Cricetulus griseus: one gene and its partner. The protein of the gene in region 1 interacts with the protein of each later gene in a biochemical or structural test. Links are inferred from orthologs where the notes say so. Each region holds a gene or a part of one and is shown on either strand. Other genes may lie near its edges.

Region 1 (9,749 bases):
GGAAGAAAAGAGCCATCGTTTTAAATAGCTCATTTGATTTTTCCTTACAGTTTATATTCAGTGAAATACGACATTTGATGACTTTTAACACCTGTGGACTCTAGCCCACATGCCTGTCAGAAAGAACATCGTTCTCTCCTGTTCCTGTTGACACAGTCCCCACTCAGGGTACCTGGATGACAGCCAGCTTTAGACTCTCACTGAAATACAGGTTAATCCTACCCTTGGCTTTAGCGGAAAGATTGAGACGAAGTAATGAAATACATAGGGTGTTGTTTCTTTGAAGTGCTTGGGAAGTGTTTTTTTTTTTTTTTTCCCTCCAGATTTTGGAATATTTGCATTAAACGCTGTGAGATATCTTAAGGGTGGTGCTAAGACAATGTGTTTCATATTTACCTCAAAGCATAATGCTGTTTTCGTGTCTGGCTCTTCCTGACCCCTCAGAAGTCAGAGCAGAATCTGCTAGTCAGGATGCCAGGGTTCAAAGTTTCTCGTGGTGTTTCTAGTTTAGACTCTTGTTTTTTTTTTGTTTTTTGTTTCTTTGTTTGTTTGTTTGTTTGTTTTTTGAGACAGGGTTTCTCTGTCAGTCTGGCTGCCTCCCATTGCTGGGATTAAAGGTGTACACCACCACCGCACCTGGCTAGTTTTGATTTTAGCAATGTCTGCTCTGATCGTTTTTTGTCTTTTTGTTTCTAATTCTCTTGGGTGGATGTTCATGAGTGGAACTGTTGGTCATGTAGGGAGGTATGCTGACCCGGATACTGGTAGTTATCCAAAGTGGTGGAACTCCACATTCCCGCAGTCCATCATTCAGGGTTTGGATTTCTGGGTACCTCAAATTCATGTCATTCCTTTAAATTTTAGCCATTCTGCACGATGACTAGGATAGCTTAAGATGTTTTAATTTGCATTTCTTGAATATTTAGTGACACGGAGCTTTTTTTTCCCCCTTGAATTTATTGCCCACTGGGTTGTGAACTGTAAACTTTAGCAAGTTTTTGGTTTGGACTTTGGAGTAATTTAAATTTTTGAGGGTTCCTTAGGAACCCATGTCCTAAGGGCTTGGCTTCTGAGTCAGCATTATTAGGAAGTGGTAAACCTTAAGAGACGGGCTTAGTGAGGAGCCACTGGGAGCAGGACTGCAGTCACTTCCTGTCTTTCTCCTGATTTGCCCGTGGGTGGGTGGTTGGGTGTCTTTGCTGAGGACTATTCTCTAACATGACTTAACTGCCTCAAGGCAGGCCTAACAGAGCAGGACCAAATCCCTTGAAACCATGAGATGTAATAAACTTATCTGAAAAGTTGACTTACCTCAAGACTTTGTTATAGTGTGGTGTCTTAGAGTTTCTGTTGCTGCAATAAGATACCATGGCCAAAGAGGAAAGCGTTTATTTCAGTTTATACTTCCAGTTAACAGTCCATCACTGAAGGGAAGTCAGAGCAGGAATTTAAGACAGGAACCAGAGAGCAGGAGCTGATGCAGAGACCATGGAGGAATGCTGCTTCCTGGCTTGCTCCCCATGGCTGGGTAGGCCATCCAGGACCACCTGTGCAGAGTGGGCTGGGCCCTCGCTCATTAAGAAAAGGCACTGCAGGCCTGCCCATTGGGCAAGCGCTAGAAAGGCATCTTCTCAATTGAGAGTTCCTCTTCCCAGATGGCTCTAGCTGGTGTCAGGTTACAGAAAGCTGGCCAACACAGATTGTGTTTTGAAAGAGTTTACCTCTGGGAGAAGAGAAGGGGAGGGGCGTGGAAGAAGAGAAGGGGGGAGCGTGGGAGAAGAGGGGGAGGGGTTTGGGAGAAGAGAGGGGGAGGAGCATGGAAGAAGGCACAGAAGCTTGGGAAATTCACCTGTCTTTAGGTTCTGAACCCACCTGTCTTCCTTCCATAGTCTTTTTGAGAAATCTGCTATCTAGAATTTTTAATTTTCTTGCTAGGAGGAATATCTAATATCTCATTATTCAAATAAAGAAAATACCAGATTTGCTTTTGCATTAGAAAGGGGGATTTCTGAGGCTTGTTATTTATTATCTTGCCTTTGGATATTTATACCTAATTTACTGCATCATACCATTTGAATTCTCCCTTTTCTACTCATCTATAAAGTTCCAGTTGGCTGTGGCTCTCTTCAGCTCAAACACTCATATCTGACTCCCACAGTCCTTCATTTCTGCTCCTAACTGAAGCCCTCTGCAGCTATATTTGAGTTAACAGAAGCCAACACTGGCCCTGTGGTTGCTGTGGAGGCTGGGCAGTCTACAATCAAGGTTCTGGCTTCCCATTCAGCGTCTAGGGCCTGCTGCTGTGTCCTGTAGTGAAAAGTGAGCTCTGAGCTCTTCAGTCCTTCTTGAAGACTCAGATTTCCCTTGCCCTAATGACATAGGCACTTCCAAAACATTGCATCTCCAACACTATCTATCACCTTGGGGATTTTATTTCTATGTCGGGGTTTGGGGGAGACACATTCAGTCCTTAGTATAAATAAATTATTCTTTTTTTTTGTTTTTTTTTTTTTTTGACAGGGTTTCTCTGTGGCTTTGGAGGCTGTCCTGGAACTAGCTCTTGTAGACCAGGCTGGTCTTTTTTTTTTTTTTTTTGTCTTTTTTTAGATTTATTTATTATGTATTCAGTGTTCTGCCTGCATGTAAGCCTGCATACCAGAAGAGGGCACCAGATTTCATTATGGTTGTGAGCCACCATGTAGTTGCTGGGAATTGAACTCAGGACCTTTGGAAGAGCAGGCAATGTTCTTAACCACTGAGCCATCTCTCCAGCCCCACCAGGCTGGTCTTGAACTCACAGAGATCTGCCTGCCTCAGCCTCCCGAGTGCTGGGATTAAAGGCGTGCGCCACCACCGCCCGGCTAAATAAATTATTCTTTGGGGTAGTTTTACAACAGCTGTTGTTTTATGAACAAAACCCTTATTTTTGTCAATTTAGTATGGAAATTTATTAAAAATAACAGTGAGCCAGGATTATATGTAAATATAGGTATAATTTTAAAATACTTTGGAAACATGGGGTTGAATGTCAAAATCTGGCCTTGCATGGGACTGGAGCTGTTGCTCTTGCAGATGACCTGGATTTGGTTTCCAGCAAGCCCTTTGGGTAATTCATAATTGCCTGTAGCTCCAGTTCCAGGAGCTCTGATGGCCTCTTGTGGCCTCCATGGGGACTGCATGCACACTTTCTCACACAGGTATACATCAAATAGATAAATCTTAAAAACAACAACAACAACAAAAAAAACAAAAAACAAAAAACAAAAAACAAGCTGGCATTGTCTGCAGGTCTTCCTGCTCTTAGGCTGTGCTCAGTACGTTTGGGCTTAGCTTTTGTGTGAATTGGTGGACCTGGAGCTTGCTCTCTGACAGCCCTGGCCTCTCGAGTTTGGGGTTACAGGTATGGCCCACTACCCCCTGCCCACCTTTAGCTTCACAAGCTCTGTGCTCGGGCCAGTGTCCTCTGCTATCTCAGAAGGCCCATGTGCTCCTGTTTGTGTTTTTATTTCTCATACTGACCTTTGTACACATGCACCCCGTGTTGTGCAAAGAATGTGTGTTTGATCTTTAGCTGTATGATTTGGGGAAATTACCCTTAGTTTTTCTGTTTGTAAGTAGAAAACCATGAATTTCCCTGTAGCTTTTGCTAAGTGTATTAATATATGAATTCCCCAAATCTGAGGAACTCCTGTAAAGACCCCCCCCAACACACACACCTTTCTTTTTTTCTTTTTTTTTTTTTTTTTTGAATTGGAATTGAAAGTTAAGGGCAAGTTTTGTGGTGTCTTCATTTTAACAGCAGTAACATGTTGGAAACATAATAGTTTATTAAGTAGACATTGAATATTTGGGTTGTGTTAAGCAAACAAGGCAGAAAGATATGTGAGTATATAATTCAAATAGGTGCATTCAGGTTGCCGGGGCCTGGGGGTAGTGGATGGAGTGGCTGACTAGGGAGAGGCCTGGGGAAGGGCTGCAGAGGCTTGCCTTTTGTGGTTTTTTTTTTTTTTTCAAGCTTTATTACGGTCATTTTATATACCATAAACATTACCAAGAGCCAGGTCTGGTGGCCCATGCCTGGTAATCCCAGCACTAGGGAGGCAGAAGCAGGTAGAGCTCAGTAAGTTCAAGGCCAGCCTGGTCTACAAAGCAAGTTCCTGGACAGCCAGGACTGTTAACACAGAGAAACCCTGTCTTGAAAAAAACAAAAAATAAAATAAAAATTAAAAAAAAATCAAAAATGTTTTTGTTGGTTGTTTTTAAGGTCAGGTGTCACTGTACAGCCTGGGCTGACGTTTAACTTGTTTCTCTTTATCCCAGGCTGGCCTTAACCTTGGAAACTACATGGCTCTGACTTCTGAGGATTAGGGTCACAGGTGTGGACCACAGCTTCTAAGTAGCTTTTGAACACAGTACTTTGTGTATACTCTGACTAAAAGGAGAAGCAACCAATTTGAATGCCTCTTATGCTGTCTACTGCAGTGAGACAGTGCACCTCCTATGCAGGGCTGGTTAAATGAGGTTCCTTTGTTTCTTTGGTATAACCGTCACAGAATAGATTTGTTATTCCCACTGTGTGAGCCATTAAAGATTGTTGCCATTGTAAATAGTAGTGATAGATACACATCAGCTGTTCTTGCATAGTTGTATGGCTTTTAGAGTTTGTTATTGATGGTTGCTTGGATGGAGCACAGTTTAAAAATACTAAGGTTTTATGTTGAATAACTGTTAAAATGAAGCCTTTATATTGGTGAGTTCTTTTTAAATTTATTTATTTAAGTATTTATTTATTTAGGTTTTTCGAGACAGGGTTTCTCTCTGTAGCTTTGGAGCCTGTCCTGGAATTCGCTCTGCAGACCACGCTGGTCTCGACCTCACAGAGATCCGCTTGCCTCTGCCTCCTGAGTGCTGGGATTGAAGGCATGCGCCACCAACGCTTGGTTTAAGTAATTTTTTAAAAGACAATGTCTCTAGTGGCTGTCCTGGCACTCACTCTATAGACCAGGCTGGCCTGAGACTCACAGAGATCTGCCTGCCTCAGCCTGAGTGCAGGGATCAAAGGCGTGCGCCACCACTGCATCCAGAGATGTTGTTTCCAAAAGGAGCTCATTATTCCTACTTCTTTGTTTGAGACAGGGGCTCCCTGTGTAGCCCAAAATAGTCTGGGATTTGCGGTGTTGCTTAGGTTGGCCTCAGACATGTAGCTCAGCTTCTGACTGCATGGATTACAGGCATCTGAGTTCTGAGAACTGAGGTATATGACCCCTGGAATGTACCTTGTGATACAAGATGGGGGGGGGGGCTCCTTAGTGAATGCAGGGTTCGTGGCTGAGTGTCCACAGCGGTTCTGATTGTCGGGTGGTGTGTGCTGACTGCAGGCGCCTTCTTCCCTGCAGGTGTGATGGGTAGGTAACAGAGGACAGCTTCCCTTTCCTGCCAGGGCATCAGCATGACCGAGTGCTTCCTGCCCCCCACCAGCAGCCCTAGTGAACACCGCAGGGCGGAGCATGGCAGTGGGCTGACCCGGACCCCCAGCTCTGAGGAGATCAGCCCTACAAAATTTCCTGGATTGTACCGGACGGGTGAGCCCTCGCCTCCTCATGACATCCTCCACGAGCCCCCTGACATAGTGTCGGATGATGAGAAAGACCATGGGAAGAAAAAAGGGAAATTTAAGAAAAAAGAAAAAAGGAGTAAGTACTGATTTTCATTTTATTTAAAAAATTATAACAATTTGTATTAATCTTTGGATATTTCACATCATGTACCCCAGTCCCATTCATTTCCCAGTCCTTCCATGCCCACCTTCCACCCTTGTAGCCTCCTCTCAAAAGTAAATAAAAAATAAAATAAAGTAAGGGGCTGGAGAGATGGCTCAGAGGTTAAGATCAATGGCTGTTCTTCCCAAGGTCCTAAATTCAGTTCCCAGAAACCACATGGTGGCTCACAGCCGCCTGTAATGAGATCTGGTGCCCTCTTCTGACCTGTAGACAGAAGACACTGTATAATAGTAAATAAATCTTTGAAATAAAAAGTAGAAAAGGAGGAAAACAAAGAAACAAAGCTGGTGGACCCCTGGGCAGTGGCCTTCCTGTCGCTGTCAGCCGCGTTCTAATGGCCACTCTGCCCCTCCATCCTTCCTGCATCTCCACCGCACACCATTTGTTCTTCCTAGTGGCCTTGGAAGTTATGACGTATCGCACGGTACACCCTTTTGCCCAAACCGCTTGGCCTGTGAATGTTCTTTGCAATGAGTCCTTAGGTGAGGTCAAAGCCTCTGGCTTCGCTGCAGTGTCAATACTGGACCCTCATAGAGACTCGGCTGTCCTGCTGTCCTGAGTCGTGGGGATCCTGCAGCTATGGGTCAGCTTTACATCATAGTGTTTGCTCTTAAGATTTTTTTGCTTTTGGTCATTCGCAATGGGGTTTCTATGTGTAATCCTGACTGTCCTGGACTGGAGCACCTCCAACTCAGAGATGCCCCTGTCTCTGCTTCCTGAGAGCTTGAGGCTCTTCCAGAACCTCACACCACCATGACTCCAGCTCCAGGGGACCTGATGCCCTCTTCTGGCTGCCATAGGCACGTGTAACACACATTGATGTGAACACACACATAAAATAATAATATGAAAACATTTCCCAGGCACTGTGGTGCACTCCAAGGCAGAGGCAGGCAGATCTGTTTGAGTTGGATGCCAGCTTGGTCTACACAGTGAGTTTCAGGACAGTCAGAGGCATGTCGGACTATAAAGAGACAGCCAGGTGAGCGGTGCACACATGCTTTAGTTGAACTGTTCCCGAGGCTGATGCAGGGTTGTTATCTGTGCTCAGTGAGACTGACTTCATCCTAGAAACAAACGAGAACCAAAGCAAACTGGCAGTTCTCAGTTGGTGTTAAGGCAGTTAGTGTCTTTGTCAGAATGCAGGAATTACTTCTAATGTGTCAGCCAAAGTGAGGGAATAATCACACTCAGCCTTCAGTTTAAAGGGTCTGTGTGCCCCGCTCCAGTTTTCCCAGAAAGGGAGTAATGGGAGGGGGAGCAAAGGTGGCACACACACAAACCAACGTGCTGATCTCAGATGTTCTCGCTTCATGTGTGCCTCCCGTTAGAGGGACAAACAGGCAGGGTAGCTCAGTAGCAGCAGCAGCAGCAATGTTATGTTTCATGAAACATAACATTGCTTTGTGTGTGTTCTTGGTGTCTCAGAACTCTGCTCGCATATGGTGTTACTGAGAGGATAGCTGCTGTCTGCTGCCCTCTTGTGGTTATTGGCTGTCACAGACTTTTTTTGGATGGTTTTCTGGAGGCCCCAGAGGGGAAAGCTGCATTCAGGAAGCATGCGGACAGTTGACTTTGAAAGCATGATTGATTTTATGGACTGCATTTCTTTGGCAGCTGAAGGCTATGCCGCCTTCCAGGAAGACAGCTCTGGAGATGAAGCCGAAAGTCCGTCCAAGATGAAGAGGTCCAAGGGAATCCATGTGTTCAAGAAACCCAGCTTCTCTAAAAAGAAGGAGAAGGATTTTAAAATCAAAGAAAAACCCAAAGAAGAAAAGCACAAGGAGGACAAGCATAAAGAAAAGAAATCTAAAGACTTGACGGCGGCCGACGTCGTTAAACAGTGGAAGGAAAAGAAGAAAAAGAAAAAGCCCATACAGGAGCCCGAGGTGCCTCAGGTCGATGTTCCGAGTCTCAGGCCCATTTTTGGCGTTCCGCTGGCTGATGCGGTCGAGAGGACCATGATGTACGATGGCGTTCGCCTGCCAGCTGTCTTCCGTGAGTGTATAGACTTCATGGAGAAGCATGGCATGAAGTGTGAAGGCGTCTACAGGGTTTCAGGTATCGCAGACACTTCACTTTAATTTCGCTTGCAGCGACGGGGCGGAGTGAAGCGTATGGGCTGTGTCACTTACTGGGGTGGTGTGCCAAGCCTGTCATGTCTTCTCCCTGGGCCCAGTGGTGGGGAGGCTGAGATCTGTTGAAGGAAGCCTCAGCCAAGAGATATGGTTAATGACACAGCCTTGTCCTGTGTTTCCTGAGCCTGACTAGAGATGAGAAGTGTCATTTTCTAAGTAGCTGGGCCCTGAATGTGAATGCTGTGTCAGGTGTACACAGTTACTGCAGATGTCAACGAAACTGGTGACCCCTTCATCTACAGAGCTTATGTGACCATTGTAGTTCATACTTGGTCAGAATGTGTTTCATATTGGATATCTAAAATCTAGCAACCTGTACATTATTTAGAAGTACAGAGATTTCTTCCTTCAAAAGCAGCACGAGTTTTGTGCTAACCTGGGGTTCAGGTCCCAAGCTGGGCAGTGTCTGCACCAGCCATTCTGTTGCGTAGAAGGTTACTTTTGTGCTGCCCTTTGACCACACGTCTCTTCATGGGGCAGGAGAGTCATACATGTCTAGAACAAAGAGAAATATTAAGCAAATTTTCCACTTAATTGGTTCATATTCTTTCCAGCAGATAGATTTGATGTTTGGGATAACATTTAATATGACCCAGTAGATAAAATGCTGCATTGCTACTATTCTATAGAAAGTAAAACACACAGTGCATTTAAGTTTGTAATTCCTTACTTCCATATAAAGTTAAACACAAAGTTGTAAATATGATTTCTAAGTATTTATTATGTATTGAAATGTTTTAAAGGTTTACACAGGTATAGAAGCTATTTCCCACATGATCTGAAGACATTTTTTGGGGGTGCAAGTTTCTCTGAAAATTTTCTGTAGCTTTGCTCAAAGAGTCTTTTGTTTCTGATCTGTCTTTGATACTTGCATCTTTTGGAGAATCCCTCATTCCTGATGGATTGTCTCTTGTCTGTGAGGGCTCCGTGGGGGAGGTCTCCTGCTGATGGCTTGCATGTGTACTCTTTCATCTGTGACAGTGTGTCTCCTCTCTGCCCGCATTGTTATGTAGCCCAGGCTGGCCTTAACCAGGCAGTAGTCCTCTTGCCTCAGCCTCTGAGTGCTGAGTTACAGCTGTGAGCCACATTACTAGCTGGCCCCGATTCTCTGCAGCATGTCTGATTTCTTCTGTTCTCTCTCTTGTCAATTTCATGTTTTTAGGAATCAAATCAAAGGTAGATGAGCTAAAAGCAGCCTATGACCGGGAGGAGTCTCCAAACTTGGAAGAGTATGAACCTAACACTGTAGCCAGTCTGCTGAAGCAGTATTTGCGAGACCTTCCGGAGAATTTGCTTACCAAAGAGCTTATGCCGCGTTTCGAAGAGGCTTGTGGGAGGGCCACGGAGACAGAGAAAGTGCAGGAATTTCAGCGCTTGCTCAAGGAGCTGCCTGAGTGTAACCACCTTCTGATTTCCTGGCTCATTGTACACATGGACCATGTGATTGCAAAGGAGCTGGAGACGAAGATGAATATCCAGAACATCTCCATAGTGCTTAGCCCAACCGTCCAGGTATGCGTTCTGGCTACACACCCCTTTTGTACTGACACAGGGAAATTAGCAGGAGTCTGATGCTGAGCTGCGTGTGAAACGGTGAATCCAAGAAGGCAAATAATGGACAAGCCTGGCATACATATCTGGCATCCTTTTGTATATGTGCGTTCAAGTTCCTATGTGGGACTTAACGTGTGTGTGTGTGTGTGTGTGTGTGTGTGTGTGTGTGGCTGTACGTGTCGATGTGTGCATATTTGTGTGGAGGTTGTAGGACAAACTCGAGTATTGTTCTTAAACACCAACCATCCACCTTTTTTCCCCACTGGCTGGCCAGCAA
Region 2 (10,423 bases), on another chromosome or scaffold:
GCTGGATGAAGGCTCTAGGATGGCATATAAGACAGTCATCAATCTCATTATCAGGGGAGGGCATTTAAGGTTGCCTCCCCTCTGTTGCTTAGATGGTTAGTTGGTGTCATCCTAGTAGATCTCTGGGCATTTCCCTAGTGCCCAATTTCTCTTTAAACCTATAAATGGCTCCCTCTCTTATGGTATCTCTTATTTTGCTCTCCTCTATTCTTCCCCCTACACAACCTTCCTGCTCCCTTATGTCCTCCCCATCCCTCCTCTTCTCCCCTTCTCATTCTCCTAGCTCCCTCTCCCCTCCCCCATGCTCCCAATTTGCTCAGGAGATCTTGTCCCTTTCCCCTTCTACAGGGGACCATGTATGTCTCTCTTAGGGTCCTCCTTGTTTCCTAGCTTCTCTGGTGGTGTGGATTATAGGCTGGCAATCCTTTGCTCTATGTGCGAAATCCATATATGAGTGAGTGCATACCATGTTTGTCTTTTTGTGACTGGGTTACCTTCACTCAGGATGGTTTCTTCTAGTTCCATCCATTTGCCTGCGAATTTCAATATCCCATTGTTTTTTTCCGCTGAGTAGTACTCCATTGTGTAAATGTACCACATTTTCTCTATCCATTCTTCAGTTGAAGGGCATCTCGGTTGGTTTCAGGTTCTGGCTATTACAAATAATGCTGCTATAAACATAGCTGAACAGATGTCCTTGTATGAATGTGCTTCTTTGGGGTATATGCCTAGGGCCATATCACCCTGAACGCACCTGATCTCATCTTTTCTCTTTTCAAAAACATTTTTTTTTTTGGTTTTCCGAAACAAGGTTTCTCTGTGTAGCTTTGGAGCCTATTCTGGCACTCGCTCTGGAGACCAGGCTGGCCTTGAACTCAGAGAGATCTGCCTGCCTCTGCCTCCCGGGTGCTGGATTAAAGGTGTGTGCCACCAACGCCAGGCATCAAAAACATTTTTTATTGATCCCCTGAGAATTTCGGAGAATTTTGATCCTTTCCCAATTTTTAGTTGATCTCTTATCTTTTGACATTCCAGTATCACTTATTTGTATCTTTTTTTCAATTTTAATTGCCTCATGATCATTTTATTCCCTTTATCCTCTCATCTTATGAAAGTATGTGGAGGAATGAATGTTACAAGTAAGGTAATCAATCTGATTGAGTTTTAAGAGTATAAACATAATTTTGAAATTTTCACTTTAGAGCTTGGCAGTGGTGGTGCATGCCTTTAATCCCAACACCCAGGAGGCAGAAGCAGGCAGATCTCTGATTTTGAGGCCAGCATGCTCTAAGGACTAAGTTCCAGGACAGCCAGTGCTACCCAGAGAAACCCATCTTCTAAAACCAAAACTGAAAAACCAAATCCCCCCCCAAAAGAAAAGAAAATTCACTTAATTGAATCATTCAAACAAAGTTTAAGAAGCTATTATCACTTCCTTTTAGAGATGGAGAAACAGAGTTTGGAGATGTTAGATTTCTTCTTTAAATCAGCTAAGTGGAAGAGTGGTAACTGAATGCTGAGGTAAGGCTAGTTGGCATCGTCTTTGTTTTTTCCATCCTTCATGTTTTGTTTGGGTGAATGAATTAGAGATCATCTTGTCAGTGTTTGGGAGTAGATGTGAAGGAGGTACAGACCCCTAATGTCACCCTCAGCAACCCAAACAGTTCCCTAGAATGTTAAGGACTCAGCTTGGGCCAGACCAGAATTCATGGCTTTGATAATGAAAATCAATTTCAAGGACAGCCAGTTTAATAGCAGAGGTGACAGTTTTATTAAAGTAATTTTAATTCATGCTCATGATGAGGATTAGGAAATGACACACTCAGAAGAAAATAAGGCACAGTGGAGAGAATGGATATGGGCTTCTCAGAAGCATGTGTGTTCATTGCTTTTGCAGGAGTCATGTGTGAGGTTTATGTGCAGTTTGAAGTTACTATCTTACTACTGTGTGGTTGTAAAGGGTCACCTGACAGGATTACAGTCGACAGAGTAGGGGTGTAGTCCTACAAACATAAAGGAGGGTAGGATATATTTCTGTAGACAAAGTTACATTTGGTTTGAGATTCTCAAGCAATTTCTAGACAAAGAAATGAGGCCCTGCCCAGGGCCATACAAACTGAGATCTGAAGCTTAGGCCATTGCCAATTTTTCATACAATATCTATGCAGAAAATAAATGTTAATTACATGTCAGTAGCCTTTGCAGCAAATGTTAATTATGATAGAGTCCTTGCTCATCTGGCAAGAGGTTTTACTCAGACTCTGAGATGATGCCCCTCCCATGTCTCATAGGTTCCCTGTCTTCCCATCCTGTCTCATTCATATAGAATCCACTTCTGACTTGTTTTGATTAATTAACAGTGGTTGCTGGCTCGATTTTTAACTGTAAGGTAGAATACCTTTATGGTGATATTCACTCTTCAATTCTCTAACATCTCCAGTAACCAATCCCTTTTTTCACCCTATATACATTTATGGTCACCTTCCTGGTTCCTAAGGCTTTTTTTTTATCTTTTGATGTTTGAAAATTCCTTCAACCTGTTTGGAATGTCCTATTTCAAAAGTCAAGAGGGCTAGGAATGTCACATCTTAAGTCCTGCAATCATCTTGTCAAAAAAATGACATTTCCACCCCCACCTCCACACCCTCCACCCCTGCTTTGGAGTATTTTTCTTGAGTAAGCCTATAATTTAATTAATCCCTTCTCTGTATCTTTGTATGTATACACATTTCTTAAGTTAGATAAGCCTGCTAAAGACACAAACCAGGAATATATTGCAGCAAATACTTTAAACAAAGTGTCTTGTCAGTCGTATGGTGCTCCAGTTTCCTGTCATGTGTGTCAGTGTAGGTGCCTTGCTTTAAGCAGTGAACACTACACACACACACACACACACACACACACACACACACACACACACACACACACACGAGGTGGGGGAGGGAGGGAGATAGGTTGTATTTTTTCCCCCTGTAGATAAATTATATTAACACAGAGTGAACTGCCAGCGAATGAACATGACACAGTGTTATCAAGTTCTTTTACACGGGGCATGGATGTATTGGGCTGTACCCACGTCACACAAAAGGAAAAGGTACAACTTTCTGCCCAAATATGCAATCTCACCAGTAGTTTGCCCGTGATGCCTTTCCCAGTATGGTTTGAAGCTCATAAGATAAAATCCTCCTGTTTTTTTTTTTTTTTTTTTTACATTTGTGGATATTTTGAGATTTTATTTAAAATATCAACAGTATCAATCTAATTACGAACCATAACTTTATTACCCTCTTTCCGTGCCCTCCTTCCCACATGCTTTCCCAAGGTAGGTGAGCATTGTGCCTTACTCATGGCACCCCAGGATCTGCCTTGGGAATGGGGCGAGGTAACGGAAAACGCTGGTGGGCGCGGAGAACCACCACTCCCAGCATCCTTGGCGCTCCCAGTGCCCGCGGTTTCCTCTTCCGGTCCGGCGGCTTAGGAAACTGTAAAAGCTATGCTGGGGACGCGGCGCGGAGCTTGATTCACCTTCACCTGCGCGGAGCTCCAGCTGACCCCGGGCTTCCGCCCGGTGAGCCGTCAGACATGAACGGACGGGTGGATTATATAGTTACGGAGGAAGAGATCAACCTGACGAGAGGACCCTCGGGTAGGCGCGGGACGTGGAGGGAGTCATTGCTGAGCTCGTTGGTTTTGCGGAGCCAGGTTTACTGGCTGGAGAGCAGGCCGGCCCGACCAAGTTGCTTCCAAGAACGCCGTCGGGCACGACGAAAGAGCCCATTGGCATCCTTTGTTAGCTAGATAACGGACCCTGGGACTCGGCCTCACAACCCAGGGAAAGTGCCGCAGGCATTTAGGGCCAGGAAGGGTTTCTGTTTGCTGGTAGTAATAGAAAAGTCTAGACGAACGGCCGCTGCTTAGACAGCCTGTAGTGGACGCCACATCCGTTATTCAGTTGCCTGGATCATCCTTGTTTATATGAGGGCCCGTTCAGGTAAAAACGAGAGCGGTAAACGGCGTGGTTTTCTGAATGCATAGCAATTTCCCTGGTGCTAGGGTCCCTGTCTGCATTTCTGGGAAATTAGTTTACAGTGTCAACTGGAATGCTAAAGCAGGAGGATACCCACTACAGAAGTTTCCAGACCTAGCGCCACCCCAGAATTACTTGGGCTTGTTTTGTTTTTACATTTTTTTTTATAATGAATTAAAACGAAAAGGCTATTTTCTAGTTTCATTTTTAGGGATATGGATTCAGTATGGATTAAACAATTCTTTAAATACTAAATGTGATTCTGACAGGAAAATTCCCACTCAGCCCTGCTGTGTCTTCCTCACCGCTGCTCATGGCCAGACTGGCATTATTATTATTATTATTATTATTATTATTATTATTATTATTATTATTATTGTTTTGGTTTTTCGAGACAGGGTTTCTCTGTGTAGCTTTGGAACCTATCCTAGCACTCGCTCTGGAGACCAGGCTGGCCTTGAACTCACAGAGATCCGCCTGCCTCTGCCTCCCGAGTGCTGGGATTAAAGGCATGCGCCACCACCGCCCGGCGCCAGACTGGCCTTTAAACATGACTACATAGTGCTGTTGTCTCCCTTGGACTATTTTTAGGTTTAGGGTTAACTACTTATGGCCAAGTTTTTATCTAACAACTTACCAGTTTGTCTGTCAGTCTGTCTGGTTGGTTTTAATTCATTGGCAGAGTAATTTAACTGATGTATGCTATAGGTTCTTGTCTGTAGAGTGGAGATGGTTATGAAGTGCATTGTGTTTGACATATAGTGTTAGGATGAAGCCAGTTACGCCCTGAGAAATATTTAGAACATTGTCTTGACATATGGTAAGCAATGTGTATTTGCTATTATTGTTATCATTAGTGAATGAATGGTTAGACTGACCCCAGTAAGTTCTGCTAAATACAGTATTCCAAGAGTTGAATAAATCATTGGTTACTGTGGATTTTTATTCTACTTAGAATATTCTGTCAACTTTTCTCATCTGGAAGTTTGCAATAACTTAATCACTACTGATAGAGTGTTCTGTATAAAACACAACTTTCAGAATTAGTCATACTTTTTGTCTTCCTGTTGGGAGAAAATTGGAAGTTGGTCTTATTTATGGGAGTAACACACTGCTAATCTTTGTGGTTTATACAGAAGCTCAGTGCTGGTTGATTTTATTTTTTATTTCATTTGTCAACTTGGCAGAAGATAGAGTTATCTGGGAAAAGGAACCTCAATTGAGAAAATACCTCTATCAGATTGCCCGTAGGCAGGCCTGTGGAGCATTTTCTTGATTGATATTGATGTTTGATGATCAGCTCACGGTGGGCAGTGCCACCCTGGGCACGTGGTCCTAGATTGTAAGGAAGCAGGATGAGCAAGCCAGTAAGTAGCGCTACTGTAGTTGCTACGTCCAGGCTCCTGATGGAGTTCTCTTTATGATGGAATGTTACCTGAAAGTGTAAGATTAAATAAATCACTTCATCCCTTAGTTGCTTGTGTTACAGTGTTTTGTCATAGCAATAGAAAACCTAAGATAAACTCAAAAACTTTTGCTCAAAGACTTTTCAATATGCTCAAGTGTTTGAATTTGTCCTATTTTAGAAAACTATTCTCTCAATATTTATTTACTTTTTAGGCTAGCATGGTAGAAATTGAATTTTTATTGCATTTATTTAGTTATTTGTGTGAGGGGCAAGGAGGCCTGTAGAACTCAGAGGACAACTTTCAGGAGTCAGTTTTTTCCTTCTATCATGTGGGTCCCAGGGATTGAACTCAGGTTGTCAGAGTTGGTGGCAAGTGCTTGTGCCCACTGAGCCATCTCACTCAGCAGCCTCAGATCTTTAAATAAAAGTCCATTTTTTTGTGTGTACTTTTCATCTTCTCTTCTTAGGATCAGTTGAGATACACCTTTCTGATTGCTTTGCAAGTACATAATGACATCTAGTTCTTTAAATATACTTGCATGATACTACTTTTTATGATGTTTGAGGTTGTTTTTTGCCTAATGGTAAGGACCTAATGATATAGTCTCTTTGCAGTGGTATTACAGTATTTCCAGGGTCTTCCGATGAGAGCAGATTCCTGATATTATTATTCTTGTTTAAGCACTAAATTCAACATAATATCACTGTTTGAACCTCTGGGCATTTTAATGGGCATTGTCTAATTTCTAAGCAATTTTCTTACAGATCTAAAGTTTCTACTCTTAGTATTTCCATCAAGCATTAGAGCTAGGGAAAGTGCCCAGAGACTAAATAAGAGATTAAATTATATCTAATTAACATGCTCTTACACAAAGCAGTTTAATTTCTGTGTTGTAGTTATTTCTTTAAAAAATAGAGAATGAATTTATCCATTGAGTGGCTTCTGGAACTTTCATAAGTGTAGAGGACTAGAATCAATAGAATGAGTATGTATATTAAAAGGAGATTTATTAGATGGGTCTAAGTAGTCCAACAGTGAGGAGGTTGAGAACCTGGTAGTTACTCAGCCCATGAGGTTGAATGCCTCAGCAGATCCAACCTGTTGCTGAAGATCTGGAGGATTTCTGGAGAGCCACTGGCTTTTAGTCCATATTGGAAGCCCCAAGACACTGGGTTCTGATAGCAGGGAAGAAATGTTGTAGCAACTAGGCAGCAGCAGTAGGATAAATGGACTCAAGCAACTGGGTGATTAAACTTACCAAGGAAGTGTGAAGGAACTAAAGCTTTAAAAAGCAAGCTTTCCACCTGGACTGCATATCCATGGTATCGCCTACAGTTTAGGGTGGGTCTTTCCACTTGAAATAACCTGATCCAGAAAATTCCTTATATGTTTGTTTATGGCTAGTCTCTTAATTGATTCCAGATCCAGTCAAATTGCAAACCCAAGATTAACCATCACATTGATGCAAATCATGAACTTCTAGGAAAAAGTAATTACTAATTTAGGATTGAATTTGTCAAAAAACAATCATTGGAAATTTGTTCATTCAGTAAATGAGGAAAGGTTTACCACTTCCCAGAGCTTTCATGGTGACATCATGAAGATACACACAGGTCTCAGGGTCTTCATGGTGACATCACGAAGATACACAGGGAAGAAGCCAGCCATTACCACTAAAAACTTGGGGGTAATTTTGGTAGTGGCATAGGAGTCTTTCTGTCTACAGGAGAAATATGAGAAGCCTCTGGTTCTAAGTATACAATTCTGTATATAGGCAGCATTGTCTGGTTTAATTGGGTGAATATGTGTATGATTACTTTTTTGAGCCAGAGTAGTGTCAGAAACGAATCTTGGATATTTGCAGTTTTGTAAAGCAATTGAACCTACTGAAAAAAGAGACAAACAAACCCACAGTCATAGGAAAATCACAACAATGAAATGACTGTCCAAGGAGTGAAAAGGAAATGGCATGTAGTGTGACCTTTGTCCTGTGCTTACTTCCTCATCATTGTAAGGAATGTCTTGGCAGTCTTTGACTTCAGAAGACTGTTTGCTTTTGTACTTGGGCTCATTTCTCATGTTATTTTAAATGATTTCTATCATTTTTAAAAAGATGTTTAAAATTTTTATCTGTATGAGTGTTTTGCCTGTATTAGTATGTATACCATATATGTGCCTGGCATTCACAGAAGCCAGAGAGAGTGCTAAAAGTCTGGAACTAAAATTATAGGTAGTTGTGAGCTATCTGAGTGGGTACTGGGAAATGAACCCAGGTCCTTGCAATAGCAGCAAATGCTTAACTGCTGAGCTTCTCTCTGGTCCCCAAGTTTCTGCCAGTTTTTGATTGGCTGGTGATCTAAAGAATTATTAAAGGCAGTAGTCATAATCTTATGTTTCAAAGGTTGAACAGTTCATTTTTATCCTTTACGAACAAGTTCAGCTTGGTTGTACTTGAAGGATCTCACTTTTTCCTATATAACATCTAGAAATCTAGAAATCCCAAGTTGTGCAGATTCATTGCTCTAAGCAACATGACAAGACTAATCTAACTTTTATTTTCTGTACCAGAGATTGAGTGCAAAGGCAGTTCTACTGCAACTGAGTAATATTGGGGTCCACTATTCAGACATAAGGGCTCAGTGGGTTTCAACAAGTTACTTGCAATCTGCTATCTTTAGAAAGGGAGGAAGAAACAGTCCATTTCCTTACAGTCTTTAGAGGCCTTTCAAAGGAAAGGATAGTTAACACAATACTTTAATAAAGAATAAGTAAGAAAGTATCTTTCTGGAAGTGTGCTAATTGCTATATATTTTGTACTTGTATTTTATATTTTGTCCTGGCTAAATAAGTCTCTGTTTATAGTCACATAGACTTATTTTAGTTCTTATAGAACCACTAAATGATAGGTATTTAATCTATACTATTGGATTGAGAAGTTATCTGAGAAGTTAAAGACTTGCCCAAGAGCTAAGACCAGTAAGATTCAGAAGATTCTACTCTAGACCTGTTGATTCTACTGTACCAGATATTTCCTCCCACCACAGTACCTAAGAAGTTGATTGCTAACCTTCCCCCTGGCTTTTATTTTGTTATAGCATGCCTTATTCTCTAGAGGGATTTGATGCATGCATGCATACATGCATGCATGCAAAAAAAAAAAAACAAAAAACAAAAAATAACTTGAAAATCCATTGTGGAAAGTTTTTAGATTTTGATATTGGTAGATCTGCAGGCACATTGAGGTGAGAACCTGAAAACAGAACATTACACTACTTACGATTTTTCAGTCATGTGCTTCCCCTAACTGCTAACTGCAGTTGCTAATGGCTTTCTGATTTGTTCCTTCCCACATCTATTAAATAGACTTGAGACTATAGTGCTATATCTTTGCTTTGTTTTCTCTGGCTATAGAAAATTTAGACCTTTGTGGAATTTATAATACAATAGAGACATAGTATTCACATGCACAGGGTTAAATCTCATTGCATATGTTCATGTGGTTAAGGACTGTGAGGTATATATGTAGCAGGAAGGCAAAGGCAGAGATATGTGTGGAAGAGCATGCTAGTCTGACTCTATGTTATTTTTTTCATTACTCTGGCAAAATATGGACAAAAACAATTTAAGGAAGAAAGGAAGGGTATATTTTGGTTTATAGTTTGAGGGCAATATCTATCATGGCAGTAAAGGCCCAACAGCAGGAACTTGAGGTGGCTAGTCATACTCCCTCTACAGTTAGAAGGGAAAAAGAATGCTGGTGTTCTGCTCATTCTCCCCCCCTCCTTTTTATTCAGTCTAGATCCCAGGTCATAGAGTGGGTCTACCTCCCTTCAGGACAAGTCTTCCTTTCTGTTAAGGTTTTCAGGAACACTCTCATAAACATGGCCAAAAGTTTGCTTCCTAGGTCATTTAAAATACAATTGGCAATAAAGATAAACCATTCTAGATGCCATACTGGAAAAGGTCAAAGTGTAGAGCTAAGGGCCCTTCTGATAGTTTAGAAGGTTGAACTTAGTGGCTTTACAGAAAGGACAAGGCTTTAGTGCCAGGATCAGGGGTCAGTATTGATTTAGCCATAATAGCAAGAAGAAAATTAGTAAAGTGTATTTCTAAGAGATCAGTGAATAAATCAGTCTGGATATAGGAGAACTTTTGTTTAGGAGATTCAAGAGTGAAATTGCCAAGGTAAGTAGAGATTGAATTGTGGAGAATATTCAGTGTAACTGTGGAATCCACCTTTCTCATAGATTCAGTCTTAATATCTTCTTCCTATCCATTGGTTAAGATCCAGCCTAGGAATCATCTGTGGAAGAAGCTGCCTTATTATCAATATTGTATATGAGCTGTAGATTGCCGTTCATGTATTGCCAAAGCCCTCTGTCCAATAATGAATAGGTAGAGGGGTTTATCTCCATTTTACAAGTGAGGAAACCTTGAATTCTATTGTCACACAGCTCTCTGGGGCAGATTTGAACTGTGTGAAATTAAAATCCCAACTAAATACTATAGGCTTGGTCCTTATTATTTGCTTTTTTGCTTGTATCTTATCTCTGTACTTTACTCCGAAGCATTCTTTTTCTTTCTTTTTTTTTTTAAAAAAAGAACATATATTTCACTGGGTATGGTAGTACGTGCTTTTAATCTCTGCATTTGGGAGGCAGAGACAGAGGCAGGCAGATCGCTGAGTTCAGATCCAGTCTGATCTACATGATGAATTTTGGGCTAGTCAGTGCAATGTAGTGAGACCTTGTTTAAACAACATAATTGTTAGAAAAAGAGCATATATTTATTATTTGTTTCCTATTGCTTTATTTAGTTCATGACACAAAGCGTTCAGTAAGTGTACTTACCAAACTGATAGATGTAGAATACTAAAATGGGATGCTTTTAAGAGAACTAGCAATGTTGCTGTTCCAGCTTTCAAAGTCAAACAGTGATCTTCACTAGATGCAGTTAAGAAAACCTGAAGGGTTGGATGTAAGCTATT

Evidence for each region.
Region 2: the proteins of Ralbp1 (region 1) and Synj2bp form a complex in vitro, tested with the Homo sapiens proteins (2 studies listed by BioGRID and IntAct, with this or other methods). The link is inferred for Cricetulus griseus from reciprocal best matches to the Homo sapiens genes RALBP1 and SYNJ2BP.

Annotation. Positions count from the first base shown.
Region 1 is NC_048595.1:454,806,239-454,815,987, reverse strand, and holds part of Ralbp1 (ralA-binding protein 1), read left to right. Parts: intron 1-5,396; 5' UTR 5,397-5,449; coding exon 5,450-5,693; intron 5,694-7,397; coding exon 7,398-7,841; intron 7,842-9,080; coding exon 9,081-9,430; intron 9,431-9,749. UniProt on the Homo sapiens protein: Multifunctional protein that functions as a downstream effector of RALA and RALB. As a GTPase-activating protein/GAP can inactivate CDC42 and RAC1 by stimulating their GTPase activity.
Region 2 is NC_048598.1:122,171,474-122,181,896, forward strand, and holds the start of Synj2bp (synaptojanin-2-binding protein), read left to right. Parts: upstream 1-3,457; 5' UTR 3,458-3,582; coding exon 3,583-3,646; intron 3,647-10,423. UniProt on the Homo sapiens protein: Regulates endocytosis of activin type 2 receptor kinases through the Ral/RALBP1-dependent pathway and may be involved in suppression of activin-induced signal transduction.